4 linked regions of the Saccharomyces cerevisiae S288C genome follow. The gene in region 1 interacts genetically with each later gene. Each region holds a gene or a part of one and is shown in the gene's direction. Other genes may lie near its edges.

Region 1 (4,021 bases):
AGGATAGAGTTACAGAAGGTGAAATTGTCAATACAGATACAAAAAAGAAACAAAAAGAACTTAAAAGGACACGTTTGAACTCATAATTCACCAACTGGTCGAATTAGTAATCGAAGTGGTGTTGTACCATTGTACGTTACCTGGAGAGGTAGTGGTAACAGAAGGTGCACCGGTGACAGTAACGTATTGTGTAGTCGTATTTGGGGTGACTGTAACGTACTGGGTAACGGGCTCATTGGTGACAGTGACAAACTTTGTGATTGGGACGCAACCATTGGAAGTTGAAGCCTGTTCAAAGGACTTGACCTTTGCATCTTTGTTGTTTGAATCTTCGTCACTGACACTTGCTGCAGTAGATGATGGAGACAAAGTAGTGGAGTCATGAAGGGTTAGCAGCAAAGTGGACGTGATAGTCGAGGTGGAGGTAATTTCATGGGTGGATTCTGGGGTTACAGATCCAGAGGCCGAAGAGGTGGACAAGGAGGAGGAGGCCGCATTGGTAATGGTGGCTGAAGTTGAGGTGAACCAGCTCGTGGAGTAGACCGTTGAGGTGACAAAAAAGGTAGTGGTGTCGTCGGCGTACGATATGGTAGTCTCTTGGGGCACCAAGGAGTAGCTGGGCGCTAAAGTGGTAGTTGTAGAAACAGTATTGTTTGAATAAATCGCTGACACAGAACTTGCGAAGGTTAAAAGAGCGAAAAAGACAACGGATTGAAGCATTTTTTTATTTTTGGTTGATAAAGAACGACTAAGGTGAGAGTGAAAGTGATGTGATTTTTAATTATGTAGTGTAATTGAAACAATAAAAAAAAAACAAGGGAATGGACGAGACCTATTAATGGGTACTATGGCTCAAATAGCAAAAAAAATTTGTAAAATGGGTAAAAAAATGAGAGAAATACGCGAGAAACCTCTTGGTTGGATGTTGTGCTAAACTAGTTGCTTAAACGCTTGCAAAACTTTTTTATAGATAAAATATGCCAAGTGAAAAGAAAAGGAAGCAGAAGAGAAAAACTTAGAAAGGTAGAGGTAAGAAAGAATAAACCAAAATGTAAGCTAGGTGAGGGAAATATTTTGGAGCTTAAATATCTCGAACGACACTCACTCTCGTCAGAAAAATCTGTCGAGTAACTCAGACCACCTCCGATAGCATACCTTGTTTAGTTTCATAATCGGCAGAGACGTCATTCCTGCACAGAACGCCAAAATTCGTGGCCCCCGCGGTACCTGAATCAGGGCCAAGAATTTTGGCGTTTCGTGTTGTTGACATATTCCGAAAAAGGTATTGAGCCACAGGTCTTTCGCGTCTTCTAAGCCCCAAGATAAAGAAAATGCCGCCCTGCTTAATCACTGTTTTTTTTTGGAAAACCCTGAAGTATAGAAGTAGGGCATTGAAAGAAAAGATATGCGGGTAAGATATGAAAAAATTGAGGAAATGAGACCCAAGTGTACATGGGTATATATAAACAAATCATTATGGTGCATGATGCATCACTTACAATGCACACACACTATTGTCTTTGTAGAAACGGGGAAGACAATGGTTGTAGGCCTGATTGGTATTAGAGGCATCCGCAGTACGAGACATACGCCAAAGGCAGAATGTTAGACCCACGAATATTGCCATACTACGACCCGGCTGTGGAGAGGAAGATTGCTGTAGTAACAGGCGGAAATACGGGTATTGGGTGGTATACTGTCTTGCATTTGTATTTGCATGGGTTTGTCGTTTATATTTGTGGGAGAAACTCTCACAAGATTTCGAAAGCAATCCAGGAGATACTGGCAGAAGCAAAGAAGAGGTGCCATGAAGATGACGACGGTTCAAGCCCAGGCGCGGGCCCAGGTCCAAGCATTCAGCGTCTAGGGTCACTGCACTATATCCATTTGGATTTGACAGACTTAAAATGTGTGGAGAGAGCGGCACTTAAAATTCTCAAGCTGGAAGACCACATAGACGTGCTTGTTAACAATGCAGGGATTATGGCGGTGCCCTTAGAAATGACGAAGGACGGATTTGAAGTGCAATTGCAGACTAACTACATTTCGCACTTCATCTTCACGATGAGATTATTGCCTTTACTGCGCCATTGTCGTGGCAGGATCATTTCCCTGTCCTCGATAGGCCATCATCTAGAGTTCATGTACTGGAAACTGAGCAAGACGTGGGATTACAAACCTAATATGCTTTTCACATGGTTTAGGTACGCGATGAGTAAAACCGCGCTAATCCAATGCACGAAGATGTTGGCCATCAAATACCCTGACGTTCTTTGTCTCTCCGTTCATCCGGGTCTGGTGATGAACACAAACTTATTCAGTTATTGGACAAGGTTACCCATCGTCGGTATTTTCTTTTGGCTGTTGTTCCAGGTCGTAGGGTTCTTTTTCGGCGTATCGAACGAACAAGGTTCACTAGCTTCTTTGAAGTGTGCATTGGACCCGAATTTATCTGTCGAAAAAGATAACGGGAAGTACTTCACCACGGGGGGTAAAGAATCTAAATCGAGCTACGTTTCTAACAATGTCGACGAAGCGGCATCGACTTGGATCTGGACCGTTCATCAACTAAGAGACCGTGGTTTCGATATATAACAAGACGGAAAGATTGAAAGAGTAGATAGATGTACATTTTATTTAAATATTAGTTAGTCGTTATTGTAACTGGTAATCAGAGCAAGAAGTTTTTCTGTACTTTGTTCTCTGCAGGCAACTAAGTTACGGGCCGACAAAGGCTTATGATGTGCGTTTTTTATTCAATTGATAGATTCAGTCAGCATTGACGTAATGGGAAGGCTAGAAAAAGAGAAGACTGAATTTGGAAACTTATTCCTCAAAGCAGACCAGTACTTCCACCGCATTTCTGTACTTAACCAAGCACGACAGTGGTCTATCAGGCTTGGATCTTTCACTACACTTCCGCCAAAGTTTTTTTTTTTTCCTGTTTATCCCAGATCACGTTTGTTCCATTAAGGAGGTTTACTATCATCTCATTTCCATTTACACATACACTTACATATACATAAGGAAACGCAGAGGCATACAGTTTGAACAGTCACATAAATGTCAGGAACATTCAATGATATAAGAAGAAGGAAGAAGGAAGAAGGAAGCCCTACAGCCGGTATTACCGAAAGGCATGAGAATAAGTCTTTGTCAAGCATCGATAAAAGAGAACAGACTCTCAAACCACAACTAGAGTCATGCTGTCCATTGGCGACCCCTTTTGAAAGAAGGTTACAAACTCTGGCTGTAGCATGGCACACTTCTTCATTTGTACTCTTCTCCATATTTACGTTATTTGCAATCTCGACACCAGCACTGTGGGTTCTTGCTATTCCATATATGATTTATTTTTTTTTCGATAGGTCTCCTGCAACTGGCGAAGTGGTAAATCGATACTCTCTTCGATTTCGTTCATTGCCCATTTGGAAGTGGTATTGTGATTATTTCCCTATAAGTTTGATTAAAACTGTCAATTTAAAACCAACTTTTACGCTTTCAAAAAATAAGAGAGTTAACGAAAAAAATTACAAGATTAGATTGTGGCCAACTAAGTATTCCATTAATCTCAAAAGCAACTCTACTATTGACTATCGCAACCAGGAATGTACAGGGCCAACGTACTTATTTGGTTACCATCCACACGGCATAGGAGCACTTGGTGCGTTTGGAGCGTTTGCAACAGAAGGTTGTAACTATTCCAAGATTTTCCCAGGTATTCCTATTTCTCTGATGACACTGGTCACACAATTTCATATCCCATTGTATAGAGACTACTTATTGGCGTTAGGTATTTCTTCAGTATCTCGGAAAAACGCTTTAAGGACTCTAAGCAAAAATCAGTCGATCTGCATTGTTGTTGGTGGCGCTAGGGAATCTTTATTAAGTTCAACAAATGGTACACAACTGATTTTAAACAAAAGAAAGGGTTTTATTAAACTGGCCATTCAAACGGGGAATATTAACCTAGTGCCTGTGTTTGCATTTGGAGAGGTGGACTGTTATAATGTTCTGAGCA
Region 2 (5,688 bases), on another chromosome or scaffold:
AATTAATAAATCTTGTACTCAAGAGCTGGGAAGCAACGAGAAATGTAGTGTGTCATGATTCTGCCCATGGAATACTACCTGAAAAATATGCTAATTGTGGTGTACCGGACCAAGTTATAATAAGTCACGCATTTAGGGCGATAAAAGAAGCATCATATTTACTTGAAACAATATTAAAAAAATACCCTTTAACAAGAGATCAATTAGACAGTATCGGCGATCTTTTTATTGTTCAGCTTTCTACTATTCGTCATAGTGGCGCCTTCCAAGCCGTTTTACCGGGGCTAAAGGCATTTTGTATTCGTTGTCAACTTGAATTTCCCGCTATTCTGGAAGAACTTTTAAGCAAGAGTGTAAAATCTTTAAAATCCAAAACTCAACATATTACAAGAAGGTCAGGAGGCTTGCCTTTCTTGGTCACAACCGTCTTAAGTGCAGAAGTTACCAAAGGGAGACCTTTGTTACAAAAAACTTTTGAAAACTTACTACTCGTTGCAAGGTTACCAATTCCTCCCCATCAAGATGAGTTTGATTTACCACAGGTTAATGCTATTAATTGTATAAACGCAATCTTTGTTGAACCGAAGCTCTCTGTACACTGTACGTCATTTGTCTCAGAGGCATTAGAACTAGCTTTATTGAATTTCGACTGTGATATATGGGCTCTAAGAAACTGTTCTATCATGCTGTTTACCTCCTTGCAAAATAGAATTTTTGGAAAAGTGGGCAGAAGCGTTAGTGCAAAATTATTCTTTACCAAATATTCTGGCTTGAGGCAACTGCTTTTGAATATTCTAAACAGTTCTATTGCTCAATATTCGGGAAGTGAAAGAAAATCATATCAAATTGAAAGCATTTTCTTGGTCCTTAATGTGCTACTGAGGTTACGGCCTACAGCTGGCTATACTGGTCTAAAAGAATTCAACGTTTCTGTTTATGAATGTTTATCAAATGAGAACTGGAAGATCAGAGATATGGCCTCTAGAGTATTGCATATGCTGTCGGAAAATTTTGAAGAAGAGATAAGAAAATTACTTGACTTGGCTTCTATCGCGAAGCAAAACCAGTTACATGGACACTTACTAGCACTCCAACAACTAGTACCACAATACCTTTCAGGAACTAGAGATATGGAGTTGATTCAAAGGATACTTGAAAAGAAAAGGATGCTTCTACTAGAGAACAAGTGCTTTATCACTAAAAAGGCCTACTTAAAATTGACCTGCTGTATATTGGAAACATGCGACATACCTGATTCTATTTTAAAAGATTATATCAGCACTTTGCGGAACACATTTATTGCTGAAAATAACGAATATGTTGTGGATGGTAGCAAACAGCTATATCTTGCACAAATCTTAGACATGCTCTTAAAATATGAGGATAGTATATATCTCGATGATATTTGCTTATTAGGATTGTATTCTCCATTTTATGAGGCTCAGCTCAGTACACTACAGTACATGAATACTAACTTTCACTGGGAAACTACAAGAAACTCAGAATTTCTTGAACAACTACAATTATTACTCAGGGTTCCAGATTTGCTGCCTATGGCTAAAGCTTTAGTAGTGAAAATTCTCTCAAGAAAAAAGAATACTTTATCCCTGACGACCTGCACTGATCTCCTAAAAACAAATAATAGTGAAGATACAAAACTTGCTGCCGTTTCATCACTAAGTGCTAAATTGTCTTCGCAAACCTTTCACCAGGTATGGAACTTGTTACAAGGATTTTTCGCCGATTCTTGTTCAAAAGATTTTAGATTGGCATCTTTAGAATGTTTAACTGCTTATCCAGAAAGTTGTAAGAACTCCAGAATACTATTACAACTGTACAACTTCTTATGGGACGATGATTCTGAAATAAGAGAAAAGGCTTCTTTTTATTTGAATAAGAACTTTATTCAAACTGCAGACTGGGAATATAACAGGAACACCAGTGTGACCGCTCTTATATTCACAAAAAAGTTTGTTGACGTATTCACAAGTTCTGAGGTGGTAGAAGAGTTGTGTTTACAGTTGTTTCAATATCTAAATGAATATGATATGTTTGCTGCCGAAGAATCGGCGAAGAATTGTCTATTTACTATAGAAAAGGATAACCAGTTCATCAACGAACTACAAAAGGCAATGCATATATTAAATATGATAAAATTGACTGGAAGGGATATCTCAAAGTGTTACAAAGACCAGATACATCACCTAAAAAGTGCTCTATTGGAGCACTTCAACACCGAGGATTTTAAAGATTCCCCACTCGGCTGGTGCTCTAATGCTGAAATATTTTCAAGAATAACGCTTTTAAAGGAACTGATTCAACATTATTCTCCTTCTGATTATGAGAATTTTATCAATGTTCTGACTAAACATTCTGTTCATCCCCTAATTATCAGTTATTCCCAATTATAAATAATGAATATGTACAGATATATACTTTGCATATAATCTGATTCATCTCTAACCTACTTGTGGATTTAGTGACGAGATTCATTGTGGAACCTATTACAAAGCATGTCGATTTCTATTCTAAATACAATGATGGAACTTGATTTAATTTCTTTACCGTTGTCATTTTCTTTTGAATTTTTTCCACCTCTTTTTTTGTTGAAAAATGTTCATGGATGGAAAATTAAAGGTGTGCCCTATTACAAAAGCAAGTTGTACCCCTTTACTAACTCTCTAGTCAATTTGAACTATTGTGAAAACGACAGTTGTGCTCACATGATATAACAAAAGTAATACTGACAAATGGCATTCCAAGATCAAGATATATTCATAGTGTTCTCGCATGCCTCCTTATTTCTTAATCAAAATGATTTATTAAGCCTAAGTCTAACATCCAAAAAAATGCATGACATGATTGCAATCCCTCGTCTTTATAGCAATATTCACATAACTAAGAATCCTGTTTTAAGAACAAACAAATGGTTTTTGGACGGGGGAAAAACTTATGTAAGTGGTTATAGATCTGTTCTGAAAACCGGTGACAAGAATGACATATTTTTATATGATAGAATTGAAAGGTTGTTGGAGACATCGCATTTAAAATGTATAAAACAGCTGACTATTGACGAGGATTTGTTTCACAACAGGGAAGAAGGATTGCAACTGTTACAAAGATTGGTCAATGAAATCACTGACTTGGACGTGATTGAAAGTCTTGACATCAAGGATCCTACCTTGTTTGAGTTATGTTCAGCAAAGTATTATCGCCTGTCAAGTTTAAAGAAGAGAGTAGTATATGGCGAAACTGGATTTGATGGTATCAAATTATGGCAAAACTTCAAAAGCTTAAAATGGCAATTACCTGAATCGTTGGATTTGCAAAACGTAATAATCCCTGAAGTGGGTGTAATGTTAATGAAGCAACTTAATGGAGGAGAGTTAGAAATAAAGGACGAAGCGTACTCAAGCCTAAGGGTCTTTGAATACTTTGATTCCCTGAACCTCCGCTTCAAGAATCTGCGCCGTTTGAAGCTTAATCATGTTCACAAACAAGGTGATGGGAGTGCTACTTCTATGAGATTATCTTCACGCGCGTTTAAGGATGTAGTTAATTTATCCAATCTTAAAGCCCTTGAATTAGAATTTTCTTGTGAGGTGGACGACTGTGAATGTGATGATGACTTTCTTCAAGATATAACAGGAAACCTTGTTTCCTTAACAAGTCTGGGGTTCATTGAAAAGACATTCACCAAAAAAGGGTACCATTACATGGACGAGAAATGGGACTTGGTCGTTAATAAGTTTATTTTAAATTTACCAAACGTGAGTAAAGATTTGCGTTTGTTAAGCATACGACATGACCCACCTTTAAATGGCAAGGGCATTGATACTGTTGATGGGAACTTGCTTCGCCGTAAAAAACTTTATGAAAAGGTTTTACCAAAGCTAACTTCGTTGGAAACAATAATAGCTCCAACTGTATTGCAGTCCATCACCTCATATGAAATGTATGCGTGTGACCTTTTGTGGAACGGCTGCAAATGTGCGTTCTGCTCCAAATACTTACCATTATTTGATAAGTACATCATGAATCATCAATACTTTTCGACCCCGGATGCAAGATACTTGGATATTATACCGATAGTGTTTGCAGCATATACTGGAAAATCTCTAGCTAAGAGGTTTGATCCTCAGAAGAACTGGGATTTGGATTTACTACAGTATGCCCCTGAGGATACGACGTGGAATTTCCATGGCTTTGAGAGAATTCATCACTTTGCAAGTTATGAATGTTATTTTGACGAATCCTCATTTGAGCCCTTAGCCACTATTATATCGCATTTTTTTTATCCTTACATGAACTACTTGATAAAGATATTGCCAAACCTTCGCCAAACTATGTTGTCAGGAATATACTTTAGCGTGAGCCCAGAATTACACACTTATGAAACTATTTATGATTAAACTTGATAGTTGTGATAAACATTTCTTATGTACATTTGTTGAAGGAGTTCGTATATATACAGCCAGTTGAGTAATAATTATATTTTACTATTGCATTTCATAATTATTACCCGGACCTTACGAGTTCTTCGAATAATAACCATATATTTCAGAAAGGTAGGCATACCGAAGGAAGAGACAATGAAAAAACTGAAATGAACAAGCTTCTGTATACGATCCAAGGATCAGAAACGGTTGTTATTTATTGTTTGGACTTCTTGTTGTTAGGCTTTATTTACCGTGCATAATACTATCTGATACTTTGAGAAACCCCTCCCCCCACAGAAAGGTTCAAAATTTACAATTGCTGCACTAGGTCTACACTTTCCTCTAGATTTGTAACTTGAAGACCCCATTCCAATCGTTTAACCTGTCTTTCCTTTTATTATCGTTTTATTCTCTTCCTTTTTTATAAAATTCTATCTGGTATAGAGCATTTTTATGTTGATCATAACTTTTCATGTATTCTATTAATTACACCACAACTTTGATATCGTCAAATTTTTTATCACTACCTATTAAATTTAAACAATTGCTTACGAGAACTTAATGTTACAACGGAGATTTATATCCTCCAGTGGTATAAAGAGATTACTTCACAGAGAATCAAACAAGGTTATGCACACTGTTTTCTTTAAAGTACGATATTACTCAACTGAGTTGATCAAAAAAAAGCATAAGGAAGATATTGAGGATTGGGTTAAAGCGCAACTAAAAGATTCTTCAACAATAAGCGGTGTGTATGAGTCTCGGAATAAACTCGATTGGATGGACTCCATTACCAAAAGCCCCAGCAGCTTAGATATTCTTAAGAATCAATATAATATAGTGAAAGACAAAGATTTTGGAATATTGTGGAAGCAAAAATTCGAAAGTGCAGATCCAGATATTTTGATGACAATAATTAGCCTTTCCACTAACCAAAAGGTTTTGTTTTCAATACAGCAATTACTGATCTTAATAAATTCTCTTCACTTTTTGAAAAGGGACTACGATATTGGACAAATATACACAACATATGAGCAATTCACGCCCTTATTAGCAAGCCACACTGATAAAGGCACATATGGTCAGTTCATCGAAATTATGTTGGTAGTACAGCATAATTTACATCATTTTGATGTCTGTGAAACTTTATTTGCAGAATATATCAAATATTGCAAAGTAAAGCCACAAATGATATCTTTAGGATTAAACTCTTTCATAAGGAGTAATAACACTCAACTAGCGGTGGAAT
Region 3 (6,273 bases), on another chromosome or scaffold:
GCTAAATAACAAATAATTATTCGTGTAAAAATAAATAGCTAATACCACCAGGTGTTCATATTCCATGACTGCATATTTGGGAAACGAGACGGTTTGAACATCCTTAGTTGATGTAAAACTATAATAAAAGCTCTATGGGAAGTAAACTATCTGCGGGTCGGGTAAGGAATGATGCTTGCTCGACGTGTAGCGATGAAAAAAGTGAAAACTTATTTGAACTCTAGAAAACTGCTAAGATCCTGAACTGATACCGAAGTTAATGACCTTGACCGGTCTTCTGCTGTATGGATTTTAAAGCAAGTGGGACAAAGTTTAAGAAAACTGGCAAGAAGGTAGTGCCTGCTAAAGCGTTTGAAGAAATTGTTCAGACAAATAGAGATGTTCTGAAAAAATCAGCATTCCTCTCAGATTTACTTGAAAATTTACAACCGCACCTCAATAACATTAAGAAAATACGATGTGTTGCAATTGGAAATTTCAAGGAGGATTTTCCTGCGACGTACCAATTCGCTCTTCTCCTAGAGATTACTGATTATATAAAAAGTGAGGATGAAAGGGATGTCGTTGTTTCCCTGTATGATCCAATATTTACTAAAGAAGAGATACAGTACTTGAAAAGTTTAGGAAGCAAATGGCTGATAGAGGAAGAATTTTCAGAGAACGATGCAATTGATTATGAATCGGTATTATATTTCCTTCCCCATGCTCCTTTGGATTTAACTGAGAACATACTATCGTCACAGCGACCACACTTATGGCTGGCAAATAATATGATATCACACACCGATAGATACACCAAAGCAAAACTTTGTGAAAACTATCCTAATTTAAGCAAGCTAGTTCATTACTTGCAGACTAACGCTCCGCCAGAAGTTAAAAAAGCACATGATGTAGATGGTTTTGCAACATTCATTCCAAAGAGAAAAAGAAAAAACAGAAACAACTCCTCTAAACTCAAGGTCACACCATCTGATATAGACTATGATTCAATAGCACCGAAGTTTAAGTCCTGCCAAATACTCACCGATTTTGATGAAGGAAAGTATTTGAAGGAAAAACCCTGGATCAATTCCTTCTCTGACTTGACGTTACATGCTATAGAGTACTAACATATCATTCACTACATAGTACTTTATAACTAAACTGTAACCTTTCAGGGCATCGTAACCTGACGCTTTACCATCAATAACGACACGAGACCGCTTTATCTATGATACTGGAACAATCAACATGATTGTTATAAATGTACTCGACAGGATCATGAAAGGATACCAACTTAGTTGCCGGTTCATTGAAATGGAAAGCTCAAGAACGTATACTGAAAGAGAGCGACGTCTACTTTGCCCACAAAAATCTACTCTCTGAATTGAATAGTATTTAGAGATTGCATAATTCAAGCCCTCCTCGAGGAAAGGATATAAATGAAAATACCGTTTTTCCTGCTGATGGTTATCGTCCCTGTCAAGGATACTTCTCGGACTCGAACAACGTTACAGCTCAACTTAAAGAAGGCTAAATACGACAAGGGCGCTTGCCCTAAGAGGAACTGTTTCTAAGTTCTAACGAGTGCCTGCGAAGATCGGTTTTTTTTAACTTCGCGGGCGAATTGATAAATAAAGTTCTTCTTGCAATTTTTTAAGATCAAGGTTGGGGCAAAAAGGACGCAAACGAATGGTTGGGTTAAGAAAGTGGAAAGACCCAAACCTGAAGTTCATTTAGTTCTTGGCGGAATGAATCATTCGAACGGCGCAATACGCTCGTCAAAGAAGGAGGTATGATTTATGACGGTTTGTGGGTAGCCCTCTAAACACGTGGAGAGTAACCTTTTCTGTTTAGCGATCCTAGAACTGCGAACAATGGTAGCTATTCGCTTACTCAACAATATTGTTCTTGATTAATGCATTCAAATATGTAACTTCGTCCCTCATATAAGCGTCTGACGCGTCGTGAAAATTTACCCTCTCAAGAAAATACAAGAGATTACGTAAAATTAGAAACCAAAAGATATGAGTGGAACAGACACATATCACCCATATTTCCTTTTCACGTAAGAAAACTTAAGTACTAGTGCGGTGCCTGCGTTAGTGCTTGTCTTTAGGTCAAACAGGTCATCTTGACCAACTTAGCTTATAATAAGAATGATAATCGATTACTCTAAATAGCATTCTTTCATTTGCGGCATCTTATAACCCACACACCGCATTTAGGACCCGTTTTTTTTCTTTTTTTTTTTGTTGAAAAAATTCAACAGTTCCTATTTTTTTCTTTTCATTCTTTTTTTTTGCCTTGCCTTCGTTTCGAGAATTCTTTTTCTTTTTCTTTAGGTAAGGGACCTTCTCAGCTGAGGCACGGTGGGGTTTGTAATAGTGTCCATTCTGGCACAAATGCATAAGTGATGCTAAAATAGTGATACGTCTAAACAAAACGGTTTGGATGCCTAGCAAATAGTAAAAAGACTTGAATATATCACTTTTATCACTATGTAAAAAAACTGAGTTATATTATTAAGTTTTTTTTGAAATGTTCCCGTTTGACGTGTATTTAGTACAGTATGTTCCGTGGATACTGTTTAGGTGCATTTAAGCGCTCCAGAACTCTCCTTTAAATTCCTGCAGCACTCCGTCAGTTGCTTCGTAAATCCGCCTGGATACCGCCTTGAAGATTAAAGTTCCCCTCAGTACTCGTTTAGCTTGAATCCACCGCATTATGGCCTGGTAAATTCCCTAGTTGCTTTTTTCTATACGGCGTCGTCCCTGGAAAAAAAAAACTTGCCTACAGATCTTAGTAGACAAATTTAACTACGTCAATCTATTGTTCTGCTTAAAAAAAAAGTTGAAATTGTTAAATCCTCAACAAACTTATCGCTTTTCAAGCTGCTGCAATCATAGATCTTACACTTCTACACAGAATTTTTTTTTCCTGTAAAAAGAACGACAAAATATATAAACCTTTGACAATCTAGCTGCATTTACTCACATTAAGCCTTGAGATTTTCATTTACTTCATAATAGCTTGTAGATGCGATGCTGATACAGTAAAATAAAAATTCAGTAATACAGTCAAATTATTGCGATGAATTTTAAAATACTCCTCCCGATTTGTGCTTTATTGACACTTACAACATTTCTGTTGACCATTATTGCAACTGCGGGTTCTACCTCAAATTATAAGCCAATAACGAACATTTATATCGGTGATGCTGATATATCAAAAATCAACGTTACAAAAGTTATGCCACAAGTTGGCCCAATTTTGACTGTGTTAGGTTCTGCTCTAACCGCTCCAAATACAACGGTGGATACCATCTTCGGCGCTCTTAAGGCAATCGCTTCTACCGAAGCCTTGTCTCCTTTACTGCACTTGTTGTCTAATGCTGCTAACACTTCAGCCACATTATCATCTTTGACACAGTTGGCTCCAATGGCTTTGCTAGGAACCAATACCGCTACTACCACGACCTTCTCCGCTCTTGATGAGTTATTGACTACCTCTAAAAACACAACCGAACTCTTGGATGGGTTTAGCACATTGATGTCATCTATGTCAACCAACACTTCTTCTACTTCGGCTTCCTTAGAAAATACTGTTCTAACCCTATTAGTGGATTCGACCAATCCTATAGGCACTACTGAGTCTTTGATCACTTTAAATAATATGACCACAGAAGAAAAGACAAAATTGTCGCCTGTATTCGAGTTATTCGCAAGTTCCAAGAACATTACTGCCACATGCGATGCGTTAGAAACCATAATGAACTCTACCATTCCAACTTCAACGGTCTCCTCATTGTTTTCTAGTCTAAAAACCAGTCTTGCGGAAGGTGGCAATGCTACTGAAACTATTATGCAATTAGGCTCCCTCGTTCCTTCGAGTTTAAAACCAGCTGTCCAAGCTGTTGTTACTCTGTTTGATGAAACTACATCTCAAAATGTAACATTATCCGTATTGAGCACTATGATTGCCGAAAACATTACCCAATCATCTTCCGCTAAAGCTGCCATGGGTGCTTTGACTGACTTGTTGAATTACACTACAAACCAAACAGAGCTGCTAACATCTGTCGAAAGTTTGGCCCTCTCTAAAGAAGCCGCTTCCTCTACTAACCAATTGGTGGCACTTGATGAAATCCTTTCTGCAAGTGCTAACGCATCCACAGTTGTTTCCATAATCCCTACTTTGGAATCCCAATTGGCCAATAACACCGTATTACTTAAGTACGTTCCATACTTGTTCAGCCTATTAGCTGCGTCAAGCGACCCCGTGTCAAGTTTCTCTTCTCTGGTTAATATCACCAAATGGGCAGAAACTAATGCCGCTACATTTATGCCCATGTTGAAAATTTTAAACTCTGCTGTAAACATGACAACTATCACACCAGAACAACTCAAGGAAATGACTCCTTCTATCCTTGAATATCTACACATCCCTGTCATATACCGTTTGTCCATTTTCACAATGTGTCGTGCTCACTTAAACAGAACAATGTACTCGTGTAGCAAGTCACACGCTGTTCAAAACATGGATTTCCGGTCGATTGTTTACAACAACATTGAAGGCTCGGACTTTAAACCTTATATGGATGCCCTGAACATCGGTAAGGACGATTTGCATTTAGATGGTGAATTACAAGACAGACAACACATGTATGTCCCAGCAGTGAAAGCAGCTTTAGCTATGAACTTAATGTGCATAATCACATCCTTCTTCTTAATGGTATTCTTGTTGCTACTAAGTAGACGTTCCGTGGTGAGTCAAAAATTATGGTTGGCATTGGGCTTTATTTCCTGTTGGATATGTATTTTCAGCGGGTTGGGAAGCACAATCTTTAGCGTCATCCTTAATATGATGAAATCCGGCTCCAAGAAGGACAATTACGATGTCATTATTTCTGGCTCTTCTCCATTTTATGGCCTAATGTGGTCTGGATTTGTATTTGCCGTCCTTGTATTTCTCTGCATTGCATACTGCTGGTGGAGCAGCAGAAAGGGAGCTGCCATCGTGGAAGCTGAGAAAGCTGTTCAAGAAAGTGACTCTACTACCTCAAGAATCATTGAAGAACACGAAAGCCCCATTGATGCTGAAAAAAACTTTGCAAGGTAAAATAATAAAAAGAAGATCATGCAACATCACCCCGTAAATTTTTTCAATTCTCCATCCTTTTAATTTTCTTCATTATAATTTTCTGAATTGTATATAGACAATATATTTTAATCATATTTAATATGAAACGGAACACAAAAATTAATTAATAACCTTGCCTTTTTCAAATTCAAATCAATGGTTTTTCCTCAATTGGAGCGTTCGCATAGATGACGGTGGGCCTCGATCTCACGCTACACCATAGAATGAAATTCAGTAATGCTCCAACGACAGCCCCCCACATCAAACCCTGGTAGTTCCTACCAATGCTCATTGAAATACCGTAATCACTATAGTTATGCTTTAGGATGTATTTGATGTATGAGTAAGTGCCCAAACACGAACCTATACTGACTAATAGGGCGGCAAAGGCGAAAAATGAAAAAAAGGCACCAAACCACGTTAGCGGCCTTATGTGGATGATCCAGCGCAATACGTTGAACACTAGATTCACAAAGGTCAAGACAATACCAATAAGAATGGTAATGAACATACACTTGACCAAATTGTTGTAGTATGTCATTTTACTTTTTAGTTTTTCGGGCAAAACAACACTGGCCACGGAATCCATAAGCTCCAGAGCCTCATTGTTGTTGATATTGTCATACACTAATGACGATAGGTTAAAATTCTGGATACCGTGAGGCGAAGAACATGATTGGATGTTATGCGAGGAGTCCACTGTACAGTACGACCAAAGCCCTATATTTATATATGAGGGCAGGCCCAACGAAGATAGCGTAGCAGAACTCAAAGAAGGGAGCACCGTCGATACCTTCATCTGCGACAGATCCAATTCTGCACAGTAAATTTTATTTATGGGACTGTAATTTTTCGTTGATCCTGCGCATGCAACAATGGCTAATATAAGTGCTCCTAGCGAAAATATAGCTGCAAAAAATAACGTGAAAAAATTCCTCATGCTTATAGCGTCCTTCGATGATGTGTTTGTTTTTTTCTTAATAGTTCTCTATTGCTTTAATCAAGTTTCACTACTGCGCAGCGTTGTATGATCTTGATCTAGTTTCTTTTAGTTCTACTTCCAAACAACTGGTCCAGAATGAAACACCACTGGACACTCATTGACTACTGAGACATGGAAGAGCAACATTCTCGCGTATATATACTTCTCAG
Region 4 (6,853 bases), on another chromosome or scaffold:
GAGAACAGAAGATATGGTAGCAGTGCTCTTGATGTCCAGTATCAACACCTTCCAGATGATCTCCTGCTGGTTAAAAATATCGTCTGTGATGGTGGTGATGTTGTCGTTGTTGTTCAAATCCTTATTTAAAAACAGCATTTTTAATATGGCAGAGATTTGCATATCTCTTAAACTAATGTCCTTGCGGGACGCAATTTCCTCCACAGCCATGATGTTGTGATTTTTGGTCAAAGATACTTAGCAACTGGCAATGACTATTATAAGTTATCATGTCAGGTTATTAAAGGCTGAGTTAGAATGGTGCTTCTTTTTTTTGTTTTTTTTTTGTCGTTTCTGCAATTACTGTGGTCAACGCGAAGAGGGAAACGGTGTTCTTTGGCAAAAATTGGTATGATATTTTATATAATAAATGTATATATACAAAATATGATGATGATGATAGTGACTGGAAAAAATATGTTACATAGAATTTTTGTATCTGACTACTATTACTACTAGTATTCGTGTTCTTGTTATTATTATTATTATTATTATTTTTTATTACTGTGGTGTTTCTTTCAAAGTGGATCTACCTGCCCTTAACAATTCATCGCATAATAACAAGTTGCTGGCAATACCTGTAGCACCGGTAATAGCATTTCTTAGTACGCGGTAGGAATCCCAAATACCCTCGATGGTAGGGTCGCAAGAATCACCTATGTTCAAGTCCACACCAACATATCTCGTTTCGTCAGAATCCTGAGCGTCATCCAACTCGTCCTCCACCATTGCGAGCACGTCCAATGGGTCGAATCCTGAGTTCTTCACCAAAGTCTTTGGAATTACCAGCAATGCTTCTGCGAACGCCTCAATACCTGTCTTTGTTTTACCCTTGGCACCCAACTTGTTCATGTTGGCAGATCTTAGGTATCTCGAAAGGGCGATGTAGAACGCACCAGCGCCTGGAATGATGTTTTTGTCCTTGAGAACGTTTGCCACAGCTCTGAGACCATCTCTCACCGCATCCTTTGTTTGAGCGAGGGCATAATGAGTGGAGCCCTTGATTAAGATGGTGCAAGACTTGGGGTCAGTGTTCTCTGTAACGTATGTGAATTTTTCCTCGCCTATGGTTTCTTGGTAGACCAAGCCAGAAAACCCAAGAATCTGAGGCGACAAGTCTTCCACAGAGTTCTGAGCTTCACCGCCAGTGACCAATTGCAATCTTTCCATGTTACGTCTCTTGGCCCTTCTCAAAGCCAAGATGTTGTGTTTGGCAAACACGTCTAAAGACATGGGGTCAATGCCTTTTTGGTTAATGATAACAAAACCCTTGTCTGGATCCATGCCACAAACTTCGTTTTTCAAGTCGATGATCTTCTTCAACTTGGCATCCACAAACTTCCTCTCACTAGCGGCCAACTTGTCCCTTTGGTCCGCAGAACTGTAAAAGAACCCAGAGTTAACTTCAGTCTTCTCGTATTCCAAAGATACGTTCAAAATCAAAACATACGCGTTCTTCACACGGGTGGGCATGTCAGGATGCCTACCACCGTGGTCCAATACCAAACCCTTAATAAAAGTGGTATCTTTAGGAGACAAGTGCTGCATCTGCATGATCTCAACCATGTGTAAATCCAAATTGTCAGCCTGCGCGTCGTACACGCTTAGCACCGCATCCGTTACAATGGGCGTCAAGACCTCCGTCAAGTCAGCGTCCACCTTGGTTAGCAGCGACGACCGGGCCACTTGCAGAAGGAACTCTCTATCATTGGAAAGGTTCGTCTTACTGATCTTGAATTCGTCCAAAAATTTCATGGACTCCTTCCGCGCAATCTCAAACCCATCAGTGATGATCCGCGGATGCACGCCCTCTTGAATGAAACGGTGCGCTTGTCTAAGCAATTCACCCACAAGACACACAACCGTCGTGGTCCCATCGCCCGTGATTTCATCCTGCGCGGCAGCTGCCCTAGCAATCAGTACCGCTGTAGGCGACTGGATCTGCATCTCGGTCAGCAACACTTTACCGTCCTTGGTCAGCTTGATGTTACCAGCACCATCCACAAGCATCTTTAGCGTGCCCTTAGGGCCCAAGTTGGTCTCTAGGACGGATTGTAAGCCCTCAGCAGATGTGACGTTAACCTTCAAAGCCGCATCCCTTCTCAACGATTCAGCCTTCGGATTCAACAATTGCAATGACATGCTTCTACTCTACTTATATTATAATCTTCTGCTTCTCACTGCTTCCACACCCTTAACCTTTACCTTTTCCACACACTGCACACATACACTGTTATACATAATCCTTTCCGTCTTTCGTTCGTTTCTTACCAGAATAACAACTACTAACACATCACCGAGCGAAAATTTTGCCACCAAAGCAAAACTCCCGTAAACAGTGATCCACGGCCCGTATCCATTCTGCCGCAGAACCCACACCTCTCACTCTATCGAAAAACAGCCTACTCCCAGGGTCCCCAAAATGAAAGCTCACTGCAATGGGAAACGATAATCACAACAAGGGAATGCAATTAAAGAAAGATATACGGTACACGAAAGGGAGAAGCGACGGCGTTAACCTATTTGCAAACGACCGAGTCAGACAGCTCAGGTCCAGTCACGTTAAAGTGGGTTACTTTGAGCTGAGGTGTGCGGTTGCGGGGCGTGGGTGTGCGCGCCGTTGCCATGCTTACCGTTCTCGTTGCGCTCGTTGCTCGTATTGCCTCGTCTGTTCTTGTCTCGTAGCTTTTTTATTATTTGGGTTAATCGCGTTGTTGAACAAGAAAGTATGATAGTTGTTGAACCGGCCCCTCGTCCCGTTCTATCTTTCTACGGGTGTCGTGTCTATTATTTTATTGTTTTCCTACTAAGGTTCTTTGCTATTGTTCTTTTAATTTTTGGTTTGTAGCTGACTACACGTTTCAAACCCAATCTTGGCAGCCCGGATCTTCATCACTCAGCTTTTCCCTACTTTTTTTTTTTTTCGTTTCCTTTTTCTTCTTTTCTTTTTCTATTTAAGAGAGAAGTTGGCGAACTTGAAGTACACATACACGCTCTCCCTCGCATCCCGGAGCTCGCAATCAACCACTATTACTAATCACATCCTAAATTTTGGGAAGCCTACACTACGATGGACACTGTCGGTACGGACGCAGCAGCCGCGAGCATTAATGAGCGTCGCTTTGCCCAGTCCACTTCACCAAAAGTTAGTGTGAAGTCACAGGACTCGCTGTTTCTGATCACTTACTCCAACATGCAGCAGACAGTGGTACAAGCGTCTTTGGCGGACCGGTACCCTTCGCTAAAGAAGCTTAACATCCTACTTTACATAGATATCCCTACGATCGACTACTACAACGATGAGATGACTCATAACAAGCTTTCCAGACTGAATAAACGGTTTAAGCTGCATCGGCTTAGAAATTCGATCGCGCAAAGTTTTTCCAACACATCTACTGCGGAAGATAACGATAAGTTTTGGGAGGAGTTGAAAAGTCTGATCAGCTCTCGCAGCACACCGGAAAACAAGTTTGATCTGAATGTACTGGTGTCGTCTTCGGGGTCTTTACGTTACGTGGAGACCATAAGATTTTTGGTTGAAAAATTGTTTAATTCTTTCAAAGACTTGTATGTTCAAAAGAAACTAAACCTATGTTTCCAGATCAACGTTTCTCCCACCTCTCTCAAGTGGTTTTCTACTTTCCTGAACGCAGAACTGCTTAATTTAAAAATCATTAATTGGCAGAATATTGGTTCTTTCACTAAGACAATCCAGAACTCCAAGTCACTCCCGTTCAAAGAGTACTACACCAAGTTGAACGAGAAATTCACCGGCTCAAACCAGAGCAATGGTAGCATGCAAGACCAGACTGTCTTGGATTCCATAGTTATTGTCACGAATAGCACGGGGGTAAAAGCACTGCTGACTTTGTTGTCAGACCACCCTCTCACCAGCCTTATCTCCCAGGAATCAATAAAAGCGCTACATGAATATTCAGATGCTGTTAACGAAGATAAGGGCGACGACCAGAGCAACACAAGTTTGAAAAGAAACTCTTCGTCGTTGTTGAATTTTCAAAACTCGGTTTTAACCTCCAATAAAGACAAGTCCGTCAGAATTAGGTCGTTGTCTATCAACAGAAAATCCAACAGGGCACATATGTTCAAAACGAACGAATCCATCACAACTATCCCATCAACGTCAATCAACAATCTTATTGGTCAGGAATCCAACCTACGCAAGCAGCCTTCGGGAACTGCACTGCATTTACAATCGCATCTGCATCCACATTCCCGTTCACAATCCTATTCTAGTTCTAATATGTCCAGATCGCCTTCTCCCTTCCCCTACGGAAAGACACCATCAAACGACGAACTAGTATATGACGAGTTAAACAACCAAATCAACGAAGTGCAAGACCGTGCTAAGAATGAGGAAATTGTCCTGTACAACAATAATAATTATGACGATTATACAAAAGAACGAGGGGAACAAGAGCAGGATAGAACCTCATACGCAGATGAATATGGCTTTAATTACGATGATGAAGAAGGTGGAAATGAAGACAACTATGATGATGATGAAGACGATGATGACGATGATGACGATGACGATGAGAGTGACGATGAAGGTTTGAGCTTTTACGCTCCAAGCATTTTGTCCCGCTCTGGTTCGAGCACAGACGTGTTATCCTCCGGAATAGATTCTATGGCAAAAAATTCGAAGGAAACAAGGGGTAGGTTTAGGTCCTTGAGTTTAATGGACCCTGCTCTGCAAAAGCCGTTCAACCAGAAATTTCCAAACAGCCAACAACCCGATTCTGCAGGGGCTTCATCACCTAAAAGATCGACCTCTTCAAACCATTTTACTAACGTCTACGTGCACGATGGTGATTTTGACGGGACAGACACTATCAACAACAAAAAGAATCTATCGTCTGCAACGCTTATTAAAAGGAAATCTTTGATGAACAGAAACTTGGCTCCTTCTATTAGTAATGGATTGATACCTCCGGAATTTATTTCCCGAATATCTACGCCCTCTACAAGCGCAAGTAGTTCAAACTCCTCGTTGAATGACATGTCTACAGTATCAAACGCATTTTCCAAATTATTAAATGACACAAGTAAGAAGCAAAAATTCTTGAATTCACCAATTCCACAACATACACAACAGGCATCTCCATTACTAATGAGAAATAATTCAAACAGTAACTTGCTATTTGAGAAGAATTTGATCAACAAGTCATTTGAAGAACTGAGAAGACAACCATCAGTTAACCTTTTTAGCACCTTGATGAATGGTAACATGGAAAAGAATGGTTTGGCACTAAACTTCAAGTCCAGAACGCCTACAGATGCGTTGATGGCGAATAGCATTAAAAATAGTAACAATTCCAGTCATAGGTTACTAAATCTCGAGGAAGAAGACCAAATCATGTCTGGATCTCTCCCCAAAGAACGCGAGGACGATAACGATTCGACTAATAGCACAATAGTACCGAATCACCCAGACAATGATAACTATAATGATAATGATAACGACAATAATACTGGTATAAATTCCAATAATTTCAATCTAAATCTCTATGATGACAATGATAGTGCAGGCTTTACAGATGTAACAACTGAAGGAGTGAAATACTCAAACTCGAATTCTACAGTCACCAAACCCGTTTATAAAAAAGCCGTCACCCTGGATTTATACGGCGAAGATGATATGGATAACATGGGAGGATGGGTATTAGGAGGTAATGCCCGGTAAAATAATCACCTGAAAAAAACTAGGTTAAGCACAAGGCAAGGGAAAAAGCCAAATTACACATATACTTGATTATAAATAGATTAGTAAAACATATATTCTAAATTAAAACAGCACTTTAACCGATATTGTATTTTTTTTTTTGGGTTTACGTGATACTGCGTAAATCTTCAATTTTCAGGGCTTTGTCCGCAAGGGGCCCGTTTATTTATCAAAAAAAGTAATGAGATTTTCGAAGAAAGTTCATAAACCTATAGATCTTGTTACATTTGGCAAGAAAACAATAAGTGGGATCTGCGGTCCAAGCAACGCATTTTCTTTTCTCTAATCGACAAGTTCAAGTAAATATTTCTATTAGTCATATATCTCTCGAGCTTATATATTAATAATGAAATCATTTCAAAAATCTTATGAATTCGATTACCCATGGGAGAAAGTCACCACGGCGAACTGGATGAAATATCCAAACAAGATCTCCACACACGTTATTGCAGTCGATGTGCTCCGCCGAGAGCTCAAAGAACATGGCGATGTACTTCTTACAGAACGGCTGATAACCATACGTCAGAACACCCCTCACTGGATGTCCATTTTAGTGGGGAACACTAATTTAGCATACGTGCGAGAGGTCTCCACCGTTGATCGAAGGGACAGATCTTTAACTATGAGGAGTTGCAATATGACCTTCCCGCATATTTTGAAGTGTTACGAAACCGTACGTTATGTTCCTCATCCGAAAAATCCATCGAATGTGACTCTTTTCAAGCAGGATGCAAAGTTTCTGTCTGGTGTTCCGACCAAAACCTTTAGTGAGAAAGTAGAAAACTGGGGCGTTAAACGTTTTAGTGATAACGCGGTGAAGGGGAAAGTCGGGTTTGATAGTATTCTAGCAATGTTCAACGATATCTGGAAAAATGCTAACGAATAAAAAAAAATACATCTTTTCTCAAGCATTTTTTCTCAAGCATTTTTTCTCAAAAAAATAAGGATTTATAGCCTCTTTGCATATAACTACACTCAGAAACTCAAAAATAAGTGAATAGATTAATTTGCCAAAATAGTTTCTATAGCGTGTCTTTCTCTTTTTGCAAACTCGTGTCATCTTGATATAAA

What was found.
Region 2: mutations in ENV9 (region 1) and ROY1 together harm fitness more than expected from each alone (negative genetic interaction), as found in Saccharomyces cerevisiae (2 studies listed by BioGRID).
Region 3: mutations in ENV9 (region 1) and INA1 together harm fitness more than expected from each alone (negative genetic interaction), as found in Saccharomyces cerevisiae (2 studies listed by BioGRID).
Region 4: mutations in ENV9 (region 1) and SND1 together harm fitness more than expected from each alone (negative genetic interaction), as found in Saccharomyces cerevisiae (2 studies listed by BioGRID).

The regions. Positions count from the first base shown.
Region 1 is NC_001147.6:794,375-798,395, reverse strand, and holds ENV9 (Env9p), read left to right. Parts: upstream 1-1,602; coding exon 1,603-2,595; downstream 2,596-4,021. Other genes in the region: SRL1 (Srl1p), read right to left, coding at 88-720; DGA1 (diacylglycerol O-acyltransferase), read left to right, coding at 3,064-4,021.
Region 2 is NC_001145.3:781,344-787,031, reverse strand, and holds ROY1 (Roy1p), read left to right. Parts: upstream 1-2,750; coding exon 2,751-4,412; downstream 4,413-5,688. Other genes in the region: tRNA methylation protein TRM732, read left to right, coding at 1-2,411; PET111 (Pet111p), read left to right, coding at 5,001-5,688. UniProt on the Saccharomyces cerevisiae protein: Non-SCF-type F-box protein involved in the endocytic with the vacuolar sorting pathway. Acts as a repressor of YPT52 by inhibiting the formation of active, GTP-bound, YPT52. Involved in the defense mechanism against methylmercury toxicity.
Region 3 is NC_001144.5:948,084-954,356, forward strand, and holds INA1 (Ina1p), read left to right. Parts: upstream 1-3,072; coding exon 3,073-5,100; downstream 5,101-6,273. Other genes in the region: BER1 (Ber1p), read left to right, coding at 285-1,109; YLR412C-A (uncharacterized protein), read right to left, coding at 2,184-2,390; PUN1 (Pun1p), read right to left, coding at 5,270-6,061; YLR415C (uncharacterized protein), read right to left, coding at 6,176-6,273.
Region 4 is NC_001136.10:831,749-838,601, reverse strand, and holds SND1 (Snd1p), read left to right. Parts: upstream 1-3,109; coding exon 3,110-5,743; downstream 5,744-6,853. Other genes in the region: SLY1 (syntaxin-binding protein), read right to left, coding at 1-210; chaperonin-containing T-complex subunit CCT6, read right to left, coding at 541-2,181; UPS3 (Ups3p), read left to right, coding at 6,129-6,668. UniProt on the Saccharomyces cerevisiae protein: Functions in the SND pathway, a SRP (signal recognition particle) and GET (guided entry of tail-anchored proteins) independent pathway for targeting a broad range of substrate proteins to the endoplasmic reticulum.